3 linked regions of the Arabidopsis thaliana genome follow. The protein of the gene in region 2 interacts with the protein of the main gene of each other region in a pairwise test. Each region holds a gene or a part of one and is shown on either strand. Other genes may lie near its edges.

What was found. Proteins that work in one complex are often made in the same cells at the same time.
Region 1: the proteins of HB-3 (region 2) and SLK2 interact in a two-hybrid assay, tested with the Arabidopsis thaliana proteins (one large-scale study listed by BioGRID).
Region 3: the proteins of HB-3 (region 2) and SHH2 interact in a two-hybrid assay, tested with the Arabidopsis thaliana proteins (one large-scale study listed by BioGRID).

Annotation. Positions count from the first base shown.
Region 1 is NC_003076.8:24,933,051-24,941,182, forward strand, and holds SLK2 (SEUSS-like 2), read right to left. Parts: upstream 6,190-8,132; 5' UTR 5,870-6,189; exon of another isoform or gene 5,573-5,869; 5' UTR 5,491-5,572; coding exon 4,567-5,490; intron 4,472-4,566; coding exon 4,340-4,471; intron 4,229-4,339; coding exon 4,180-4,228; intron 4,074-4,179; coding exon 3,859-4,073; intron 3,773-3,858; coding exon 3,704-3,772; intron 3,613-3,703; coding exon 3,512-3,612; intron 3,323-3,511; coding exon 3,229-3,322; intron 3,146-3,228; coding exon 3,076-3,145; intron 2,968-3,075; coding exon 2,171-2,967; 3' UTR 1,912-2,170; downstream 1-1,911. Other genes in the region: AT5G62080 (Bifunctional inhibitor/lipid-transfer protein/seed storage 2S albumin superfamily protein), read right to left, coding at 748-761, 1,077-1,350; BAG2 (BCL-2-associated athanogene 2), read left to right, coding at 7,427-7,607, 7,711-7,967, 8,063-8,132. UniProt on the Arabidopsis thaliana protein: Probable transcription regulator that functions in the development of the carpel margin meristem similarly to SEUSS (SEU).
Region 2 is NC_003071.7:14,339,409-14,346,649, forward strand, and holds HB-3 (homeobox-3), read right to left. Parts: upstream 4,371-7,241; 5' UTR 4,190-4,370; coding exon 4,063-4,189; intron 3,978-4,062; coding exon 3,156-3,977; intron 2,847-3,155; coding exon 2,629-2,846; 3' UTR 2,237-2,628; coding exon of another isoform or gene 2,231-2,236; 3' UTR 2,014-2,230; downstream 1-2,013. UniProt on the Arabidopsis thaliana protein: Homeodomain transcription factor required for meristem growth and early development. Promotes cell proliferation and prevents premature differentiation in meristematic tissues during postembryonic development.
Region 3 is NC_003074.8:6,308,808-6,315,262, forward strand, and holds SHH2 (DNA-BINDING TRANSCRIPTION FACTOR 2), read right to left. Parts: upstream 4,600-6,455; 5' UTR 4,375-4,599; coding exon 4,321-4,374; intron 3,969-4,320; coding exon 3,883-3,968; intron 3,787-3,882; coding exon 3,741-3,786; intron 3,642-3,740; coding exon 3,440-3,641; intron 3,275-3,439; coding exon 3,199-3,274; intron 3,083-3,198; coding exon 3,031-3,082; intron 2,948-3,030; coding exon 2,804-2,947; intron 2,720-2,803; coding exon 2,600-2,719; intron 2,465-2,599; coding exon 2,195-2,464; 3' UTR 1,912-2,194; downstream 1-1,911. Other genes in the region: ATSYTF (C2 domain-containing protein), read left to right, coding at 60-278, 369-629, 709-837, 928-1,449; EMB1865 (CRS1 / YhbY (CRM) domain-containing protein), read left to right, coding at 4,765-5,685, 6,090-6,455.

The DNA.
Region 1 (8,132 bases), on a different chromosome or scaffold from region 2:
TATGTTTTTGAAATCAGAAATATATTTTGTGTGGATGATAGGTGTTTATCTTTTATCCAGGCCATACAAATGTTACATAGGTTGTTATTCTGGTGGCACAATTCAAATTCTTCTTGTACTTCAAATTCTATAAAGAGAAGTTGTTAATCACTAGCTAGATTAACCCCTCGATTTTGAAAGGTGTTGTTTTCTTCGTTTATTCATCTATCTATTTGTTTAGTTATCTATATTTTACTGTTCAGTAGGATGCAGTTTAGAAGTAAGTCTACGAAAAAGGAAAACAAATAGGGAACATTCGAAAATAAAGACTAGCTGTGATAACGATCGTCTATAACCACTAATAAATACTATCCTCCTCAAGTCGTATTCAGCAACAAGCACTAGAGGGGTCAGGTGCAATTTTTAGACTTTCTAGCTTTTAAACAAACATTGTTAGCTTGGCAACAATGAAAACTAACATGATTTTCCATGCATATTAAACAAGTCACTAATCTAATTTATTTCTGATGTCTAGACTTACGTACGTACATGTTTAAGAATAATTTGGTTTCAGACCGGGAATGTTTTATTCTCATAATTATCAAAGCTTTTTATTATACTAGTAGTATCTAAATTTCTAAGCAAAACTACTAGAACTTTATTATAGTAAAGCAGAAGTTAGAAGAAAAAACATAAGACTGGAATATTTCTCATTATTCTTTATTTTCCCGTTTTCCTTGATCATCTTGGAATTGACTCGTAGCTTAACTAAGCATTTATACCTGCACAACCCAAAAACAAAACAAACAAAAAAACAAAAAAACCTCAGAAACAGATATGAAATAGAGGTCTATATATCATTAAATAAACACATTACTACATTAGCCGAGTTAGCTAGAGCTGATATATGAGGTTTTATCCTACTTAATCTACTTGGAATCTTAGGCCAAGTCTTTTTGGTTTGGCCATATATTAGGCCAAGTCTAAAATGTTGGTAACTAAAACTAAATATATATTGAGATTTGTTTTATTCATCCTCATCTTGGGATAACGAGCCAAATATCAAACTTCTTGGTTAAAAGTAAATAAATCCGTACCACAATCCACAGGAGGAAGGTTACAAAGCGAAGGAAGAGAGGTGGCTGCACGGAGAGCGTTGCATAGACAATCTCTATTAGTAGATTGAAGTGCGGCGCAACACTCTGAATTTGGTCTGCCTGAACCGGGCAGCACCATGGCGGCGCATACCTGCACATTTGCTAGATCGTTGCCACATTCTTGGGCTTGAACTACCGTTTCTATAGCAGTCATGGCAAGAAAAAGGACACTGAGAACGGCTGCGAAAGACTTGAACGATGCCATTATTGCCATGGATAAGTTTGTTTCTATAGATATCTGATGTAGTTCTATGTATATGATATCATATGTTTAGATTTATCATTTATATAATGTTTTGAGTGTATATTTTGAGTGATTAATTAGATGAGTTGAGGAGACGTTTGGCATGGTCACATGGTCTAGTTAGTTCACAAGATTTACATGTGAAAGTAAATCACTCTGTTCTCTATCCACCACGCTGAGTGCAAGGTTTTTTTATTTATTTATTTTATTCTTTAGTGCAAAGCAAAAATATTTCATATACAAAATTATGTAATATATGAAATTAACTATGGTAAAAGGAGTTGACAAATTATCTCTTGTAGATAGTAGGATGGTTGGTATATTGAAGATGAAAAGTATTACTGTATTAGTGCAAGTAGATGAAGATTACATATCCGTATTTGTGGAATTTTGTATGATTTAAAATCACGTCACAAATACATTTTATTAAAATTTCAGAGAAAAAAATAGCATGTGTCTGGCTTGTTTGTGACGTGTTACCGATGTTTGTAACTGTATCAGCTTTAAATAAACGAGGCTTAAAAAAAGTCATAAGAAAAAAGGTAAAATATTGATTGATAGCGATGAGTTCCTGAAGAACAGTCTTTTTTCTTTTCCAGAATTAGTAACACTTTCCAGAAAAACCTCTTCATAAAAAGAGAAGCTTTAATCTAAGAAGAAGAAAGAACAACAACACAGTAGACACGTTAACATTGAATCCCCCTCATCAGATTCATATACCTAAGAAAGTTAGTCTTTAGTAACTCGTTCTTTACAAAGACAACATTGGAGCTAACTATCAAAATGCCTCTCATGACTTCCAAGAATATCCTCCCATGCTTTCATCAACCTCATTGCTAAAAACCCCGTTATTCCCAAAGTTGAGCGATGTATTAGAGATAATACCTTCCAGGTTTTGGCTTTGGTCTAACCCCTTGATGCCTCTGAATCTGTTGGAGGTGCTTGGTGTTTCAGCTGCTGCGGGAACATAATCTGTTCTGTTTCTTCCCATGTTGGTATTGCAATTCATCATGTTCTGACCAGAAAGTGACTGTTGTTGTTGACCGGAGCCTCCATTGCTGTTTGCCATCTGTTGCCATATTTGATGAATCATTTGTTGTTCCAATGTTTGGTTACCGCTACTACAGGAAGGTGGCTGTTGGTGGTATTGCTGGGTTGAGCCATTATAACTGGAGCTTGGCATTTGCCGCTGAGGAGATAGATGGGAAGATACACCACTTATTGATGGGCTATGCACAAAACCAGGTAACAAGGGACTAGTTCCTTGATAGCTCGGGGATGCACTCCGGTTTCTTGATGGTTCTTGCTGGATTGTGGTGTTGTTTAGGTCTGAATTCAGATGGTTTTGTTTCATGAGCATGCTCTGGTAGTTGGTAAGCGCAAAAGCGGCAGCTTGTGCAGAGCCGGGAAGAGATCCTTGACCGCTCATGTTGTTCATTGGTATGTTTATCCCGGAATTGCGCAAGGCCATTAGCTTGTTGAGACTGTTCCTATCAGGTGGAAGCCCTCGGGCAGCCGCTAGTTGCTCCATCTCCTGCATCTGAGGTTTACCAGCCTTCATTCGATATGGATAGCTCTTCAAAGCCTCTGCAAATGTTAAAAGGTAGCAAGAAAGCTTTTTATAAGCACAGCCAAGTAAAAAAAAAGCGTTTTGATGAATCTCAGGGACTCTCTGGGATTTATGTATTAACTTACCGATTGGACCCACTTTTTGGTCACGGCAAAAGTCAATCATATCTTTCATGCTGCTGACAACCTCAGAAATCTGTTTAAAGAAGATGGCAAGAGTTAAACAGTAAAAAGGAGACACGCCACCAGGAAAATGCAAGAAAGTAGGCAGAGAGATACCTGCAGACACCGAACATATCGTTTTGAGAAGCCTAAGTCATTGAGTGAATGTGACTCCAAGCTTTTTGCTAGTTGACGTCCAGCAGCCATGACCCTGGAGCAAAAGACTTGGCATCAGTACATCATATTTGTATATATTAAGCTAAAATCGCTTTGATCTTCTTTGCATCAGTGAAAAATCTTACCTAATTACCGTACAAGATGCAAGAAACAATGAAATTGAATTGATTGAGAAATATGGAAGAAAGAGAGTGAAATATTGTCTAGAATCATCAAGACTCACATGTTGCTATTAGCTTGCAAATCTTGTTGATGAATCCCATCTGATCCACTTTGATCAATTGTGCTCTGACATTTCTCTGCAACCTGAAGCAATTGGTTCACCTGCACGACCATAGGGAGCAGACATTCAAAAAATCTCAAGACCAGGGATTTCAAAAAGAGTCACAAAGATTGTAAGAACCATTAATGTTACCTGTGGAGCTACTAGGCGACGAGGAAGTAGTTCTTCATGTCGACGAGTACAGAACTCCCATGAGAGAATCTGGCAAAAGGAAAAAGGATAAGCTAAGTTACTTTAATACACATTAATGATTAAAAGTATTTGGAATCAAAAGCTCTTTAAACCACCTTCAGCTCTTGGGAGAATATAATCCGAAGATGGCCTTCGCGAACAACACGGATATGTTCGTACACACTCTCCTGAACTGCTTTTCCATACTCTAACACCATAATTCCAGATCCATATCTGCGTTCAGACGGTACACCCAGATAAAGAAGCTCGTCCAGGACACCACTTGCGAATTTGATTTCGTTAAGCCTTGGCAAGACATCAAAAGTTGCTTCTGCAGAATCCATAAGAAAAAGTTACTAAGAGAAGATGTTTTGCTACCATAAACATTTTTGAAATTTCCCTCTTCTTCATCAGGGTATAAGCAAATTGGAACTTACCAAATCCTCTTCCCGATTTAGAACCACATAGATCACACTGCCATTCATCCTGCAAATGGAAAATACAAAAAGCAAGAATAAGTAACCTATTTGTAACTACACCGTAAGATCAGCATAAAGAGTATGAAACCAAAAAAAACAAAGAGTCAGGGAAACAAACCGTGGCTGCCTGAGGAGAAACACCAAGTGCACTATGCCCCACATTATCATAATGAGAAAGACACCATCTTTTCTTTGCCCGGGGAGAAAAATACTCCGTCACAAATTTCCTCCAGTAAACAATACTGCTCTCCTACAAAATCAGCAATGACACGACTGGTATCTGTCAAGAGCTTTTTTCTAGAATACACATAAAACAAAAAATTTGACGACTACATGCACACTCACAGAAGGCCTTTGTCGCTGATGATATAGGTACTGCATCAATCTTCGAGCGCAAACGCTATTTTCATAAGGTCTTGGCCCACCGGTTAGTTGCATTTGCATTCCTTGTTGTTGCAACTGTTGCTGTTGCTGTTGGTGCTGCTGCTGCAACTGTTGCTGTTGCTGCACTTGTTGCTGCTGCTGCAGTTGAACCCGTTGCAATGGTGGGAGGGACTGGAGATATTGTTGCTGTTGCCTCAGCTTTTGTTGCTGAAGCAAGATTTGGAACTGTGGATTTTGGCCTTGTTGTTGTTGTTGCTGCTGCTGCTGCAATATATCCTGTCTCTGAAGCCACTGACGTAAAATCTGCTGCTGCAAAGCATCATCCTGCTTTGAATCTAATCTAGGTTTTTTCCGTGCTTGAGTTAAGTTGTTTGGATCCTGAAAGAACGATTCAGAAGCACGCCGAGCCATAGAAAGCGGGATTTGATTAGTTTGTGATGTAGGCAGTGATGTAGCACTAGAGCCACCTAGCTGAACACTAGGATCATGCCGTTGTACCACAGTCGACCCATCTACAACTGATGAACCAGATATGCTGATATTATTAGAAGAGAACGACATAGGAGACGCCGGTAAACGCATATATGACTCATTATTGATACTAGCACTACGCTGCAAATGAGGACCACCTCCAGAGAGCCCTGAATTAGCATCTGTGACAAGCGAACTAGCTCCTGCGCTTGGACCGGGTGTTGAAACACTCATCATAACCGGATTATGCATATCACCAGAAACCATACTGAGATTGTGATAGCCACCAGTAGGTCCACCACATCCAGGAGCAGAGTTAGATGAATTCCCATAAGAGGAAGTCAAGTGAGAGTTAATGAAGCTTTGAGATTCATCATCTCCTTGAAAGAAAATCCCAGAAGTTGAAGAAGCCATTAAAGGGTAGGTCCCAAGTGAGTCTGAAATCCAAAGTTTCTTCCTCAATGCGACACAAATGTCCCACCTTTACTACTGATACCTACAACATTATACATGTATCGATTAAAATCAGATCAATAACATTCCCTAACACATGAATCTGGTGCGTTATTAAAGATACACAGACATTGAACTTAACCACTGAAATAAAAAAAAAACCAAATCAAAACCCTAATTTTAAAGTTCGTTACTTAACATAACTAACCGAGAAACTAACCAATCCCCAAAAAAAAAAAAAATAGATAGCAATCCCTTAAAAATCTCGGAGTTAGATATTTAAAAAGCAACCGAAATTAAATTACAAAATAAAAAAGCGAAGAACACGGAAACAACGTACGAAGAACTGTTAAGTGGAGCTTCGATCAATATAGAACAAAAGCTGAGAGATCACAACTAGAAATTAAAACTAAACCCAGCTGAATTGAAACAGAAGAAGAGGAAGATAATTAATGAGACAAGAAGAAGAAGAAGAAGAAGGAAAAAAATTTGCCTGGAAATTTCAAGCTGTAATATAAAGTTAAAATAAACAATCTTCTTATTTATTTTGTGTTTGTTGTTTTTGCATAAAAAAAAGGAAAATCCTGGAGAGAGCTGGAACTAGGCAATGAACTTGACGCGCCTTTGTTAATATACCTAGAGGAAATCGTAAGAACCAAATCTGACCGGACAAGCCGGTGACCCATCTGCTTATGGTTTTGCAAGTACTTTTTATTACCCGCTAGTCAATACTGACACGTGTCTTGTTTATCGTAACAAGTATCGTATGACCGATTGGTAACCTTTAGCTGTTTTGATTGCGTGGCATATTCTTGACCTTGCGATCAATAAAGTTAAATCAATTGTGGATCGTTCGATTGAGAGCATGGATCGTGTGCGACGCGTGTAGTTTAAAGTTGATTGACCAAATTATGTTTTTTATTTTATTTTTTTGTAATAACTGTACCAATGATTGCAGCTGTAAATGAGTGGGCTTACGACAAATATCCTCTTTTTTGCATGATTACTTATTGACCCCAATATTACTCCCTTTGACAATTCAACCCCTAAAATATTTCGACAAGATCATCCAACTATATGGAGCTACGACCCAACAGGCCTATTTCAGTATTTTTAGGCCCATTATTAGCCCATAAATAATTATACTCTGTTCTCCAACCGTTCAAAGCTCTGTTCTCGAACAGTCTTGAGGTCAAACCTAACCGGTGTCTCTGTCTCTAAAGCACTAGCTTGTTCAAGAAATGATCAAAGAAAGCTCGTGTGTGGTCCGTACGGTCCATGGATCATTCAAAACTTGGCAAGAAGACACACAACACCGACGATAATTCTAGACAATGTGGATCTGCAAGAAAGAGAGATTTTTAAGTTGCAGAGTTTGTCGGAGTTAAAGGCGTGACGTGTAACACAAGTTTCTGTTTCAGTTATTTCATTAGCTTACCTGTACTTAGAAACGTAGAACACGACTTATAAAATACAGAAGAACGATGACAAATAAATATAAATGTAACAACGACATTAATATATCGTCATTATTTATCAGAAATAGAAATAAATATGTGGGGGATACAACATTTATATTAAATATATGTATCTGTGATGGACTGATAATGAGACATAACAACAATCACATTAGCTGTCACTCTTTTCTTTAACTTTTTTTTCTCATTGTATAAAATTTTATAAAACAATAATCTGCTTTATATGATTCTTATCTTTCTTCTTCTTCCACGAGTTCTGTCCAGAAACAGAAACATTAATTTATTACAAAACAAAGTGTATTTACTTCTCTTTGCTCAGACGTTTCTTTTTTCTTCTTCTTCTTCTTGATCTTTTTCAGAAATCAACTTCATCTCATCATTCCTCTGTTTTTTTCTCTCTATCTCTCTTAATAAAGAAAATGATGAAAATGAGTATCGGAACAACAACTTCCGGCGACGGTGAAATGGAGCTCCGACCTGGAGGAATGGTTGTACAGAAAAGGACGGATCATAGCTCAAGCGTGCCACGTGGCATTCGGGTTCGGGTCAAATACGGGTCGGTCCATCACGAGATCAGTATCAACTCTCAATCTACTTTCGGTAAACGACACAAAACATTCCGAGTTATACAGTATTTCCTTTATACTATTAGTATGCTCTGTTTTTGGAATTTGATTGTTGTTGTTGTTGAATTTAACAACAGGGGAATTAAAGAAGATATTGTCTGGTGCGACAGGAGTTCATCATCAAGACATGCAGATTATATACAAAGACAAAGAAAGAGACTCAAAGATGTTTCTTGATCTTTCTGGTGTCAAAGATCGTTCGAAACTTATTCTTATAGAAGATCCCATTTCTCAGGAGAAACGTCTCCTTGAGTTGAGGAAAATCGCCACCAAAGAGAAATCATCTAAAGCAATCTCTGATATTAGTTTCCAAGTCGAAAGACTCGCCGGACAAGTAACTTAAGAAACATAATTTTAAATTTTCCGGATAACAACGCTCTTGTCTCGTAACTTGAATCAGAATTGTTTTTTTTGGTTTTTGGACTTTAGCTGTCGGCGTTTGATACAGTGATTGGTAAAGGAGGGAAAGTTGAAGAGAAGAATCTTGAGAATTTGATGG
Region 2 (7,241 bases):
ACTCTAGGCAAGGCTACAAGATACTGCAACATGAGATCTAGTTGTAGATTCATATATCTTATCCTTATCATTCGCAACATCTCGCTTATATTACAAGAGATCTAAATCATTATAGGTTTATCAATATTAACATCTTGGGCTATAGAAAAAGAAATATATATTGAGAGAGAGCAGAGAGTGAACATGGAGTGAGTGTCATATGAATATGATTCATCATGATGAGGAGAAAGAGTTAATATACTGTTGTGTCAGTTTTGGACGTAAGAGAAAGTTTGTCCCACTTGTTGGTGAATCCACAGTTCCTCTGGTCAACACTCTTCTGAACCTATTTTTTTGTTTGTCTCTTTCTCTTAGCTTTCTATTTTTTCTTTCTTGTCACTTCATAGATTTCTATTTACACTCTTTAATCTCATTTGTTTTCGTGATAACTTCTAAACTGCGATCGTAATTTTCTACTTTAATTGGGGAAAAGGCCAATAGTTCCTTTTTAAACACAACAATATCGATTTGGTTCCGTTATGATATTATTATGTTACTATACATAGCTTTTTACCCCCCAGTTGTTACAATACATAGATTTTGTTGGTTTTTAACTATTAAGTGCACACGGCAGCGTAGACAGTGACAACAAGTTGTCTATACGGACAATCAGATGTCCAAACTTAATGATAACTTATTCTTAACTTCACATATTTTTAAGACGTAATATGTTGCATTGTGCTAAACTATAAATGATGAGTTATTATATGATCAATAATAATAATGCGGTGATAAATTAACTATGTGAGAACATTGTTTAGGTTTCTAGTTTTAATTATAATTATATTTAGTAAGGAAATGGGTGCAAATTAAATGTTGTTTTGTAGATAAAAGAAAATAATATAAGCATGGGTAAAGATAACGTTAAAGCGACAAGATGAAGGAAACAGTCAAACAGTAGAAAGTAGGACTGTAGGACCATGTTTTTATTGAGAAACATTTGTGTGATTTGATATTACATTTTTATTATGCTCTTTTGACATCTGATTTGATCTAACAAAGCCCCTACCTAGCTAGACCTTCTTTGCATTCAACTACAATTATTTACCAGCGTTTTATTCTCTTTAATTCCCTTGAATACTCCATAAACATTGCAGCAAGAAAAAGAAAAAAAATATTACATTGCAACAAGGTAAAATATTAGTATCGAATCGAGAGTTAAAACTTCAAAGCAAAGGATCTTATCAACTGACTGTCAAAAACTCTGTTTCCTAACTTTGATACGTTACTTATTTATTTTATAAAAAAAATTTGTTTTCTTTTGATGAAAAAATATTCAGATTATATATTAACTCTGAATTCAGATTATACAAAAATTCATAACGTGGCTATGAATATCAACTATTGTTAATTAGCATAATTTCAATATAAATGAATTGTTTTGTTTTTGGCATTACAAATTACTTAATTGATTCCATGCATTGTGTAGTTCAAAGCAATATTTACTAATTAATTTTATCTAAAATAACTGAAACTATTTTTTTCGTACTATCATCATTCGACGCATTTTTATATTAAAAGAACTAAATCATCTTTGAAATCGAATTTTCATACATTTTTAATTTTAAAGGGTAATATATTTGATAGAGTACATATTTATTTATTGATTTTTTATATAAAAATGAGTGAACCGTCTATAATTTATAATTAATAATTATATTAGTGTAATAATGCATTTCTGAAGAGGGGATGGATTAGGTGTAGTATAATAATTATATTAATGTAACGTTTTAATCCCCGGGATTAAAGTGAAATATCACCTCACACGTGAACTGTAGTCAAAGTTCCCTACTTCCCGCATGTAAACCTTACATCACAGTCTAAACACTAAACATAACGCATGACCTAATTCACTTTCACACTGGGTGATGTGATGCTTCTACATTACTCATCCCCATATTAGCGCATTGTTTAACAATTCCACATATATAATCAATTTTTCAAGAAGAAGAAACAGAACAACATTATAGATTTCTTTAGATAATAATGAAACACACATCATATATTATTGGTCAACAATTTAACGAGAGAGTTTTGTGAATGTTGTCCGAAACTCATACATAAACACCGTCACAACAGGTAACTGAAACCAATACTTTATAAAATCTTAACATTTAAGCCTACGTACGAGAGATGGTGAAAGAAAGAGACAGGTCTTAATTTCTTCTTCAAACTCAAATCTCCCACACGACTAGATCTGCAAAAGCAGAAAAGAGACCTCGAAATTAAATCACATAAACAATTATATACACACACATGCAGGCACATCCTCCGAAATATGGTAGTATTAGAATTTATACTACAAAAGTCAAAATACACGAAGGCCAAAAAAAGAAAAAAAACCCCAATGAATGCTCTAAAGAAGCGCAAGGTGTGTGTGTGTAATTAAATTAGATTGAGTCAACATTGTTGACCTAAGCCAAACAACATGTCTCTCGCATGCATTTATCCATTTTAGATCCCAATGAAGAAATAAACTAGTACTAATATAGATGTATAAACTATAATTATATAGACATTAAATAAGTATTCATTTTACCATAGTTTATTTAACCGATAGAGTAGTATCTAGCTATAGTGGAACCTTAATTAGTATAACAAAGGAAAATAGAGAGGAAACAAAACCAGATAGTACGAGGCTCCGTGTTGAAGAGGGTGAAGAGCGACGCCATATTCATCGGTGACAATGGGCTGACCCGCGGAATTAATCAGAACAACCTCTTCCCCAAATGCATCCCTCACATTGAACGGTCCTGAGCTCACTTCAAGCTCCATTTCATTGATGAAAACTCTTATTCGTGCGTCCGCTGCATCCATATTTAGCCATTGTTATCCCATTATTTCATGTTAGTATAATGACTATAACAATCTATATAAAACAAAATTGTAAAGCTCACACAATCTATTTTCAAGAAAGAGAGAGAGGGTATATAGAAATAAAGAATCATCTAAAGGCTACTAAACATGAAGGTTTTAAAAAAAGATTTGTATGGATCAATGTGTCCCTTACATTGTTGACACAAAATTAATGTATCTCTACGATTGAGTAAAATTTCAACATGTATATAAGTAATCTATAACTTAAAAAGGGTGATAACTTTATATATTAACATTACCTTGAACTTGAAGCTGGTCCGAAGTTGATGGGACAGTAGCGAGAGAATGCGAAGTAGTAATAGTGGTGGCAGTAGAAGTAGTGGGAGGAATATGAAGCATGATGTTATTGTTGTTGTTGTTGTTGTTGTAAGAAGCTATTTGATGATTAGTGGTAGCGTAACAAATCTGAGTCTGTGGCTGTTGCAACATCTTCATCCTCATTTCTTCAACTTCTTTCTCACTCAAGTGTTGTTGATGATGAGTTCCATAACTCACACTACCGTTCATGATCTCACTCAGCAGGAGTCCGGTACACGTTGGAGCCGGTTTTTGTTGCTCAATCATATCACCGGAGAGAAACCCTAATTGGGATGAGACGGTGATACCTTCAAACCCTCCGACAGTGGAGACCGGGAAGAGAAACGCCGGTTCCGGTGGAAACATCCCCATCATTTGACTACCACCCAAAGAGAGATTAGTGTTGTTCTTGTTCTTGCTTTTTCGGGGTTTGGTGGATTTGGAGGAGGAAGAGGAGGAGGAAGAGGAAGAGGAAGCCGAAGGTTGCGGCTGCGGCTGCGGTTGCGTTTGAGGGAGAGAGTGTTTGGAGTGGTTGTGGAGGAGGCGGAGTTTGTGTTTACTACGGGACTTACGGTTTTGGAACCAGTAGAAGACGTTAGCATCACCGACTTGGCCGTATTCTTGAAGCTGAGCCCTAATCCTCCTGATCTCCTCTCTTGGAGGATTCACCATCCCGGAGTTAAAGATTGCTTCAAGTATCCGAATCTGCTCTGGCTTTGGATTCCATCTTGGTTTTGGCTCTGGACTCCTCTCCACTTCACATCCTAAAAAATTCACAATCTCATCAGATAAGAGTTCTTTAAAACAAAATTTAGTTTTGAATTGGTAAATATGTAGAAGTAGAAGGACCTGAAGAGAAAGGAGAAGATCGGTGAGAAGCAGAAGGCAAGAGAGGAGAGTTGATGTCATGTTGCCATTGATGGGGATGAGGTTTGGACTTGAACATGCTTGGCCAGTGTCTATTCGAAGAAGCCATAACTAATTAACTCGATCCGCAGAACACAGATGTATGTGTATGCATATGATGATGATTGATGTTGAATGATGATGTGATGATGATGTGATGTGTCAAAAAGAGAGGAGGAAGAGACAGGGAACAGAATGGCTAAATGGAAAGATAAATAAAAATGTGAATAGGGCAAAAGGGTTACGACCTCTTTCTCTCCCTCTTATAGCCTCTCTTCACCTACCCAACCTGTTTTCATATATTCATTCATCTCTTTTACATAAATTTAATTTAAAGTCTCACCCATATTTCTATACACCATTTCTCTTTCTCTCTATATCTATGTATCTATCTATGATGTATAGATGTGTATCTATATCATTATGTGTATATGTTTAGTAAAGACAAAAAAAACTATCACTACTTCTCTTGTTTAGGGAATCAAATGAATTAGAGAAGTAGGCTAAATCCTATTAACAGAAATGTTATAAAAGAAAATAGGAACACTGTTTTCATTACGTTTTATTATTAACTACTTCAGTCAAACAGTATGATTTAGTTGCATACTTGCATTAAATAGTTTTGAACAAAAAAAATTGCATTAAAAAGTAAATTTATTAATTCTATAGAAGGTCTTTGATCGCTTATATATAGATTATGAGGAGCACTTTGACATTTTAGATTTGAATCCAGTTTTGCTTGTCATGGTTCAATTATGATAAAATAAAAACTGTTTTAGGGGTTAGTTCCCTTTAGTGTCATCTAGTGGGAAAATGTGTATATCACCAATGGAAATTCAAAAGGCATTATTACAGTATTAAAAAAAGAGTGACAAGGTTAGTATTTAAGTACGTCAAAATGTGCTAGTCGACGAGTAGCCTATATTGCTATAACGTTAAATCACTGATGGATTGACCAATACTTCAATAACAAATAGAAGAAGACAATTTTGGAAATCTTAAATTTCTTCAACAGTCATTTGATTAGTTGTGTATCATGAGCGTTTCTTTTAGCCTCGCAAACAAATAGAAGACCGCATGCATTCACACTGTCTAATAAACCACTTTGAGAGTCCGAAGGAGCTTCACTGAATTAGCCCCAAACCATATCAATCTCACTCACAAATGACCAAATTGATAGCATACCCTGTGGCGAATGCTTAATACCATTAAATAATTTTATCATTTGTGTTTTTCATATATGTACAAAAAAATCCAAAATCCATATGAAAATAACTGATAGAGAGACTAGTTATATGTGCCCAAAAAAAAAAAAAAAGAGAGAGACTAGTTATATAGATTTATAGAGTGGGTACTGAATTATTTAAAAATATTCAATATTTATTATAAGAAATTATTTTAGCAATTTTAAAAAGTTGCCATACAAAGTCATCTGTAATTTTACAAGGGTATTTGAAGCGCACTCCAAAAATTTCTGTTTACTTTAGGTTTATACTAATAGACTCTGAATTCATATTACTAAATTAAAAAATTTAATTAGTAGAGCAATACAGATTTTCTGTTACTACATCCATATTAGAGTTTGCATGGTATTTCATTCGTTTGTTTTGTTATTCACATTCCTAATATCAATTTCTGAGATAGAAAACAGTAAGAGACAGGAAGAAACTCAAAGTGATCATTAATGCAACCCCATGCCTCACTTCCTTACACTTCTTGCATTAAACTCCAAACTGCTTCTGCAGTTCAAACGTACGAACACAAATTTCTTCAGAAATTGAAACAACAGATTCTTTGAAAGTGATCCATGTTTGGTTCTGAACTAGGATTTTTTCTCCTTTTTATTATTTTCTCCTCTGACATCTCAAAAAAAAACATTAATTAAAACAAGACAGAAAGATTGTAAATTTTCTCACATTTTATGTTTATTTATTAACTATAACAAGATGGGTTTTTATTATTTGCTTGTATTACAAAAAAATAAAATCATGTAGTTTCTGGATTTTCAGTCTGTGCAGAAGAGGATTCTCTCGGTCACCTTCGGGGCATCGGCCTTAAATTCGGATGGGGAGCAAATGGTTTGTTTGGACGTAGGAATAGTCATAATCAAATTAGCAAACACGATTTTAGGAGTTTTGTGATGTAATAGTACGGAAAAAAGAAACATGTATTAATGGGGAAAATACGAAATTTTAAGAGGTCAGGATGGGTGGTGGTGTATAGTAATTGCAAAGAAATTAAGGTCATTTTTTTTTGGATTGACTCGAGGGTCTTTGTTGATGATCGTTCCCTTTAATAACGTATTAATAATTCTTCAGTTTCTTTTGAAATATTAAGATTCTTTTCATCTGCATTTATTTCAAATATAAACTAAATGGAGCCTTTTTTATCAGACAAAAAAAAAAAACTAAATGTGAGCTTTATTTAAAAGACTAACTATTGAATGGGACTATGGGACAATGCTAAACAGTCTTAGTTTATAAATCATAACTTTGTGATAGGATGCAAATAAATCAAAACAAAATGTGGCATCTCCATTTAACACAAGCGGTTATCAGTGTTAACTAGATCTGTAAGTAACATTGCAAAGTCTCGTTCCAAGGACTGGTCCAAGATTATTAAGGATTCCAAAGCAAAACAATTTATGGCCTTATTTTTAAGCAAAAAAATAAAGATATTTTAGTTATGTGGATATAGTAGTATTTTATTTGTTCTTAAAATTAAAATATAAAATATATGTTTAGGCTGTTTTGGTGCTCGGGCCTTTGCAGCTTAACTTCGGCTGAATCAGAAAATGGCGATCAATGCAACCATTTAAATATCTATATTTCCATCTATTCTTATGAAACAATAAACAATTCGTTTTGATTGAAAAAAAAAACAACAACAAACAATTCGATGTACTATAAGTTTTTCAAGTTAATTTACTAATTAAGAAGATTTTTCCATGACAATCTACATACCAAAAAAAAGTTACTAATTAACATATCCTGCGTTTAATTTTTGGTTATAAGAAACGTCGAAGTGATTAACATACAGCCTGAATTTTTCCTATATGTTTTTGGGAGTATCTAGGTTTATCTTGTTATAATAAAATAGTTTCAAAATCTATCATTTCATAA
Region 3 (6,455 bases), on a different chromosome or scaffold from region 2:
TACTCTTTTATGATTTTGAGTTTTTGACCACTTTTATGTGTGTGTTTTTGGTCTTTTAGTTGACTGTCCGGCTACTTCTAAAAGAATGGCACTTCTCTGATGGCTCACATAGCTTGAATAGCGTTAATTCGAGTTCATTACACTCCCTCGACAGCTCGTCTGCCCTCCTCTCGAAAACCGGCCGGAAAATTATCGTGACGGTTTTGGCTGGAAAGAACCTTGTTTCTAAAGATAAGTCCGGAAAATGTGATGCCTCTGTCAAGTTACAGTACGGAAAAGTAAGTACTCTCTTCATGATTTTGCTTCAAAATGGCTATTGCACGATCTTAAAATCTTAAGAGGTTGGCATGTGCTTGAATGGTTTGTAGATTATACAAAAGACGAAGATAGTGAACGCAGCAGAGTGTGTGTGGAACCAGAAATTTGAGTTCGAAGAGTTAGCCGGAGAAGAATATTTAAAGGTGAAATGCTATAGAGAAGAGATGCTTGGCACGGACAACATCGGTACAGCTACATTGAGTCTTCAAGGAATCAATAACAGCGAAATGCATATATGGGTTCCGCTTGAAGATGTTAATTCTGGAGAAATAGAGCTTTTGATCGAAGCTTTGGATCCCGAGTACAGCGAAGTAAGTGTTTTGAGGAAAACAAACATCACTCTGTTTCTTTGTTTTTCCTCATTGATGTTTTTTTCTGGCTTGATCGCAGGCGGATTCTAGTAAAGGCTTGATTGAATTGGTTCTCGTTGAAGCGCGGGATCTTGTGGCCGCGGATATTAGAGGAACCAGTGATCCTTATGTTAGGGTTCAATATGGAGAGAAGAAACAGAGGACAAAGGTATTATAGAAACTGTTTTGGACCAAAAAGACTTCATAAAGAAAACAAAACTTACAGATGGCTTTTTTCTCGTGTGATTGTTGTTTTCAGGTGATTTATAAGACGTTGCAACCAAAATGGAACCAGACAATGGAGTTTCCAGATGATGGGAGCTCCTTGGAGCTACATGTGAAAGACTATAACACTCTGCTTCCGACTTCAAGCATCGGTAACTGCGTTGTGGAGTACCAAGGGTTAAAGCCAAATGAGACTGCCGATAAGTGGATAATTCTCCAAGGAGTGAAACACGGGGAGGTCCATGTCAGAGTCACGAGGAAAGTCACGGAGATTCAGAGACGCGCCAGCGCAGGTCCTGGCACACCGTTTAACAAAGCTCTGTTACTGTCCAACCAGATGAAGCAGGTGATGATAAAGTTTCAGAATTTGATTGACGATGGAGATCTTGAAGGTCTTGCTGAAGCTTTAGAAGAGCTGGAAAGTTTGGAGGACGAACAAGAACAGTATTTGCTCCAGCTTCAGACAGAGCAATCGCTGCTTATCAACAAGATCAAAGACCTTGGTAAGGAGATTCTTAACTCATCCCCAGCTCAAGCCCCGTCTCGAGATTCTTAACTCGTCCCCAGTTCAAGCCCCGTCTCATTCCCCATCTCGATCAGGCTCGGGTTCGGGGACAGGATCCTCCTATAACCGGAGATTACCCGCACCAATGTAGTCACTTGTTTTTCCCGATCAAACAATCATCTATGATGTATATAGATAGATATGTAGGGGCATTGGATAAAATGTTCAGAGAGAGTTGAGCCCTTGTTACAAAGTTAGATACATATGATATGTAACATATCAAATCTGTAAGTTTCTTATTATTCCCTTTGTTATTCTGTAACAATAAAAACTGTTGTAATTGTTTGTAAAACTGTTGTTCTGTGTCTAGGCTGATCAGTCATTTACAGAAGCAAAATAGTTCTTTTGACCTCAAGTGTTATCTAGTCTCCTCAGCACAGTGAGATATTTTTCAGATTAATAATTGGTTAATTTCTCATCCCCACAAATGTTGTAAAGCTAAATGACTCGAGGTAAGATTCCTAACTTGTAAACTTAAGCCTTGAAAAGAATAAATCCACATGATTCGAGCATGTTTGTTCAAAAGAGTAAAAAACCGGTGACCATCAACAGATGATGAATAAACCGGACTAAACCATAAATATTCCATCATACATGAAGGATCAAGTAACATGGCATGATACAGCTTTAGATGACTAATTCATTGTGTGAGAGTACAATGCATATGATCCCAAGTTAACCTCTACTAGTAACTGTGAAAAATGGCTGTTACAAACGGGGATAGAAATTACATGGCCTAGGCTGAACCAGCGGGAACAGTAGCTGCATTGGAGCTAGGCTGAACCAAAGTGGCTGGAGTGGCACTCAGGCTCGGATCTTTTGACTCGGGTGCAACAATGGGAACTGTAGCTCCGGGTAGTGACAGAGGGGTTTTTGCAGCCGCATCTAGAGCGGGTATCTGATGCTGATTTGAGTTAGCCAAATCGTTTACGGCGTTGTGAAGTTGTTGTAGCCTGTAATCTGTCTCGGGCCGCCGACAAATCTTCCTCAAGGGAACGATTTCCTGCTGGGATAACGGAAAAGAAATCCAAAATAGGTGAGTGAGGAGGGTTTTGCTTTATGGTCTAAACCATGAAATGGAGCTGACGGGTAAATAAAACCGCAAGGGATAGAGAGAGAGAGAGAGAGATGATCGTCCAACCTCGGACTGGTCGTGGCTGTAACGCACCAAGAACCTACAACGACAACCTCTGACATCATGTCTTCTTCTCTGTGCGTCAAGAACAATGGCGTCAAAGTAAAGAGCTTGATCTTTTCCTTCCTGAAGATGTTATAACATAGTTCTAGTCAGGGATAAACTAACATGACACCTATCACTAAATGCTTAGAGAGCGAAGTTCTAAACCTGGAAACAAAGGACGAGATCTCCAGCAAGAACTGCAACACATTCTGATGCTTCACATGGGAGAGACCGTTGTCTTACATGCTTTTTGACATTTATCCATTCATCTTCTTCAACTTCGAAACCCGCAAATCGAACCTGCACTTCCTGAAATACCCAACAGAAAGATTGTTGTTAGCAAAACAAAAAAGGGGAACAAATAAGTCAACAAGAGGTTGGTTAGGAATTACCGGATCACCAATCTCCAAGTTTCTATGAGCTAGGAAAGCTTGCACATCATACCTGTAAGTAAGCAAGAGAGTTACATATCAGAGAAAACCAGTGGAATGTAATGATATTGTTACAAAGTATCATAAGTCAGCAAAAAAAATACTGAAGATTGAATGCAAGGGAATCACCATGCACCATCCCTGGCAGATTTGGCTTCAAATTCCAAGTAAGAGTTGTCTGAACCACTCCTCATGACACCGGGAACTATGAGGAAAAGCAGTAAACAGTTACGAAAATGGCATCTGTGCAATATCAGCCATACTGATCTAGACTTATGGAGAAAAAACTAAAACTGAAAAAACCAATGAAACCTATTCCAATAAATAACCTTCTCAACCTATTTTACTGAGAGTAGAATAAATAAAGCACCTAAACTACCAGAAGGGGCAGGCGTCATGCCGGGTAAATTTCCAGTCATATGAGTGGTTTTAGGAACTGATAATGGTTGAATCACACTTCTCATCTGATTTGGTAAATCCATACGCGGCATGGAAGATACATTTAGCTTCCCAGGAGCTTTGTTTCCCCTTGCTCGTAAAGCATATCGCCTATTTTGAAACCAGTTCCAGATCTGTGATGCATTAAAACAACATTCCCATTAACTTTTAAAAGCAAACCCAACAGACTCTGTCTGATAAAACTTAAGAATCAAGAAGGAAAAAGCCAGTACTTGCTTGAACTGCACAACAACTTTCCCCTTCCGCTCAGGTGATTCACTGAGACAACAGATAACAAAAAGTAACCACATTTTAGATGATAAAGACACAAAATCACTTTCAGGCCAAGGAATTGAGCAACAACAAGTAAAATACCTAAACTTATCAGCAAGAGCTTCAAGAATATGTCGACCTGGCATTGCTGTATTATGCTGTAGCAAAATTGCTTCCATCTCCGTTACCTTCATAACAATTGAAGATTAGCTATAACAAACAAGATAAAACCTCTTCAAAAGAAGTCACAAAACCATAGAACAACAGATAGATAGAAAAACTTATGTATTATCAAATCTAAACTCTTAAACATTACTTAATAAAGTAAAGCCAATGGATTTCAGAACATACATCGAATTGTCTTCAAGTTTCTACTAGCTAATTACAAAAATTCAATTGGACTTCAGGATCTAAACCCTATCATGAACCCAAAAAGAAGACCTAAATCCTAAGGAACAAAACCGACACAAAAATCAGATTTTTCAGCTCTGGGAGCTCAAAATCCGTGAAAGCAACACATTACAAAGAATCGAGATAAACCTCAGGCAGGATAAATCGAAACGCCGGACCGCCATTACTGGGAGGTCGACCCATGGTATCTTCTTCGTCTCACCGAAGAAAAAACAAAAATTGGCGGCAGAAAGTGAAATCAATCGGAGCTTCTCTCACTTAATATTCGAATTCACGGTGAATCTCTCTAGTACGGCCGGTGACCCAACGACAACGAAACCGGTTTTACTCAGACCCGACTCCGTCGCTTATATAACTTTTCACCTGTGTAATTTTTTTAAACTTAACATGTAGTAATGGGCTTTTAAAACCCATTAAAGGCCCATTTTCCTAAAACCGATACAAAAATCTTATCCGTATGGTCGAGTAAATCCAGCTTATCCGCCTGAAACTTATTTCTCAGTATCCAAAACGATGGCGAAGAAGACACTTCGCTGAAGCTTTTTTTTCCAAAAAAATTTCTTAGTGTCGTCAATGGCTTTGGCTCCACTTAATTTTACGGAAATGCCACTGAGAAGCTCTCTTCCTCTGACCTCTAGCTCTCGCTATTGTTCCTCTCCTTCGCTTCACGCATTGCTCTTCTATTCGTTGGGTGTGAAACCCTCGCGTCAACAAATTGTTCGGCCATTCTCTTCGCTGCGTACAAGCGAGCGTAGCAACAACAGGAGCAATAACAATCGTCGATTAGATCAACGTAATCATAAACCTACTCCTCCTTGGATAGATAAGTGGCCTCCGTCATCCTCCGGAGCTGGCGGTGATCATGCCGGGAAGAAAGGTGGTGAAAACAACGGCGGAGATAGAATTCGGTCTGCGGAGGAGGAAGCGGAAGCGAAACTTCGGTATTTGGAGAAGGATAAAGGACAAAACGCGATTGAGAGGATTGTTCTTCGGCTACGGAATTTAGGATTAGGTTCGGATGATGAGGACGATGTGGAAGATGACGAGGGAGGTGGAATTAACGGCGGAGATGTGAAGCCGGTGACTGGAGAAGAGAGATTGGGGGATTTGTTGAAGAGAGAGTGGGTGAGACCTGATATGATGCTTGCTGAGGGAGAAGAGAGTGAGGAAGAGGATGAGGTATTATTGCCATGGGAGAAAAATGAGGAAGAGCAGGCGGCGGAGAGAGTAGTAGGAGAAGGAGGAGTGGCGGTGATGCAGAAGAGGAGAGCTAGAGCTCCATCACTGGCGGAGCTCACCGTTGAGGATTCTGAGTTACGGCGGTTAAGGAGGGATGGAATGTATCTGAGGGTTAGGATCAATATACCAAAAGCTGGGCTAACGCAGGCAGTGATGGAGAAGATTTATGATACTTGGAGGAAAGAAGAGCTTGTGAGGCTAAAGTTCCACGAAGTGCTTGCTCGTGACATGAAGACGGCCCATGAGATTGTTGAGGTTCGTTAGTTCTCTTGAATACTTCATTGATTAGAACAGTAGGTTAGCGAAATTTGAGGTGCGAGATTATTCCAAGAGAGAGCGGTTTTCATTATCTATTGGGGATAAGCTTTGCGGAAGTGACATGATCTTTATAGGATAGTAAGAGACTCTGAAGTACCTAAGCTCTGAAATAGAATGGTTATAAAGCTTTTATAATAACAGTAGGAAATTTGTGAAAAACGTTAGATCTTTCTTGGGAACGATTATATAGTTGTGAATAAGGTGAATTTGAGGTGTTGATTAACTAGAGTGGATGGAGCTGAGCATGCTGTTAGAATTCTTTGAGTAACAAGACTGTGCAGGAGATGCATGTCTTAACTTTAGGTTTAAAAAAAAACTGATTGAATTACTCTAATGGGCAGCGTCGAACTGGTGGAATGGTGATATGGAGGGCCGGAAGTGTAATGGTGGTTTATCGTGGACTTGACTATAAAGGACCTCCTGTGATCTCTAATCAAATGGCCGGTCCTAAAGAGACTCTTTTTGTCCCAGATGTATCTTCTGCTGGCGATGAAGCAACAAATGCCAAAGATAACCAAAGTGCACCTTTGGTAATCAAAGATCCGATCATCAAGAACCCTATTCGCAAAGAGAATATGACAGAAGAAGAAGTTGAATTTAACAGTCTATTAGACAGCTTAGGTCCACGTTTTCAAGAGTGGTGGGGTACTGGGGTACTACCTGTGGACGCTGACTTACTACCTCCTACAATTCCTGGTTATAAAACA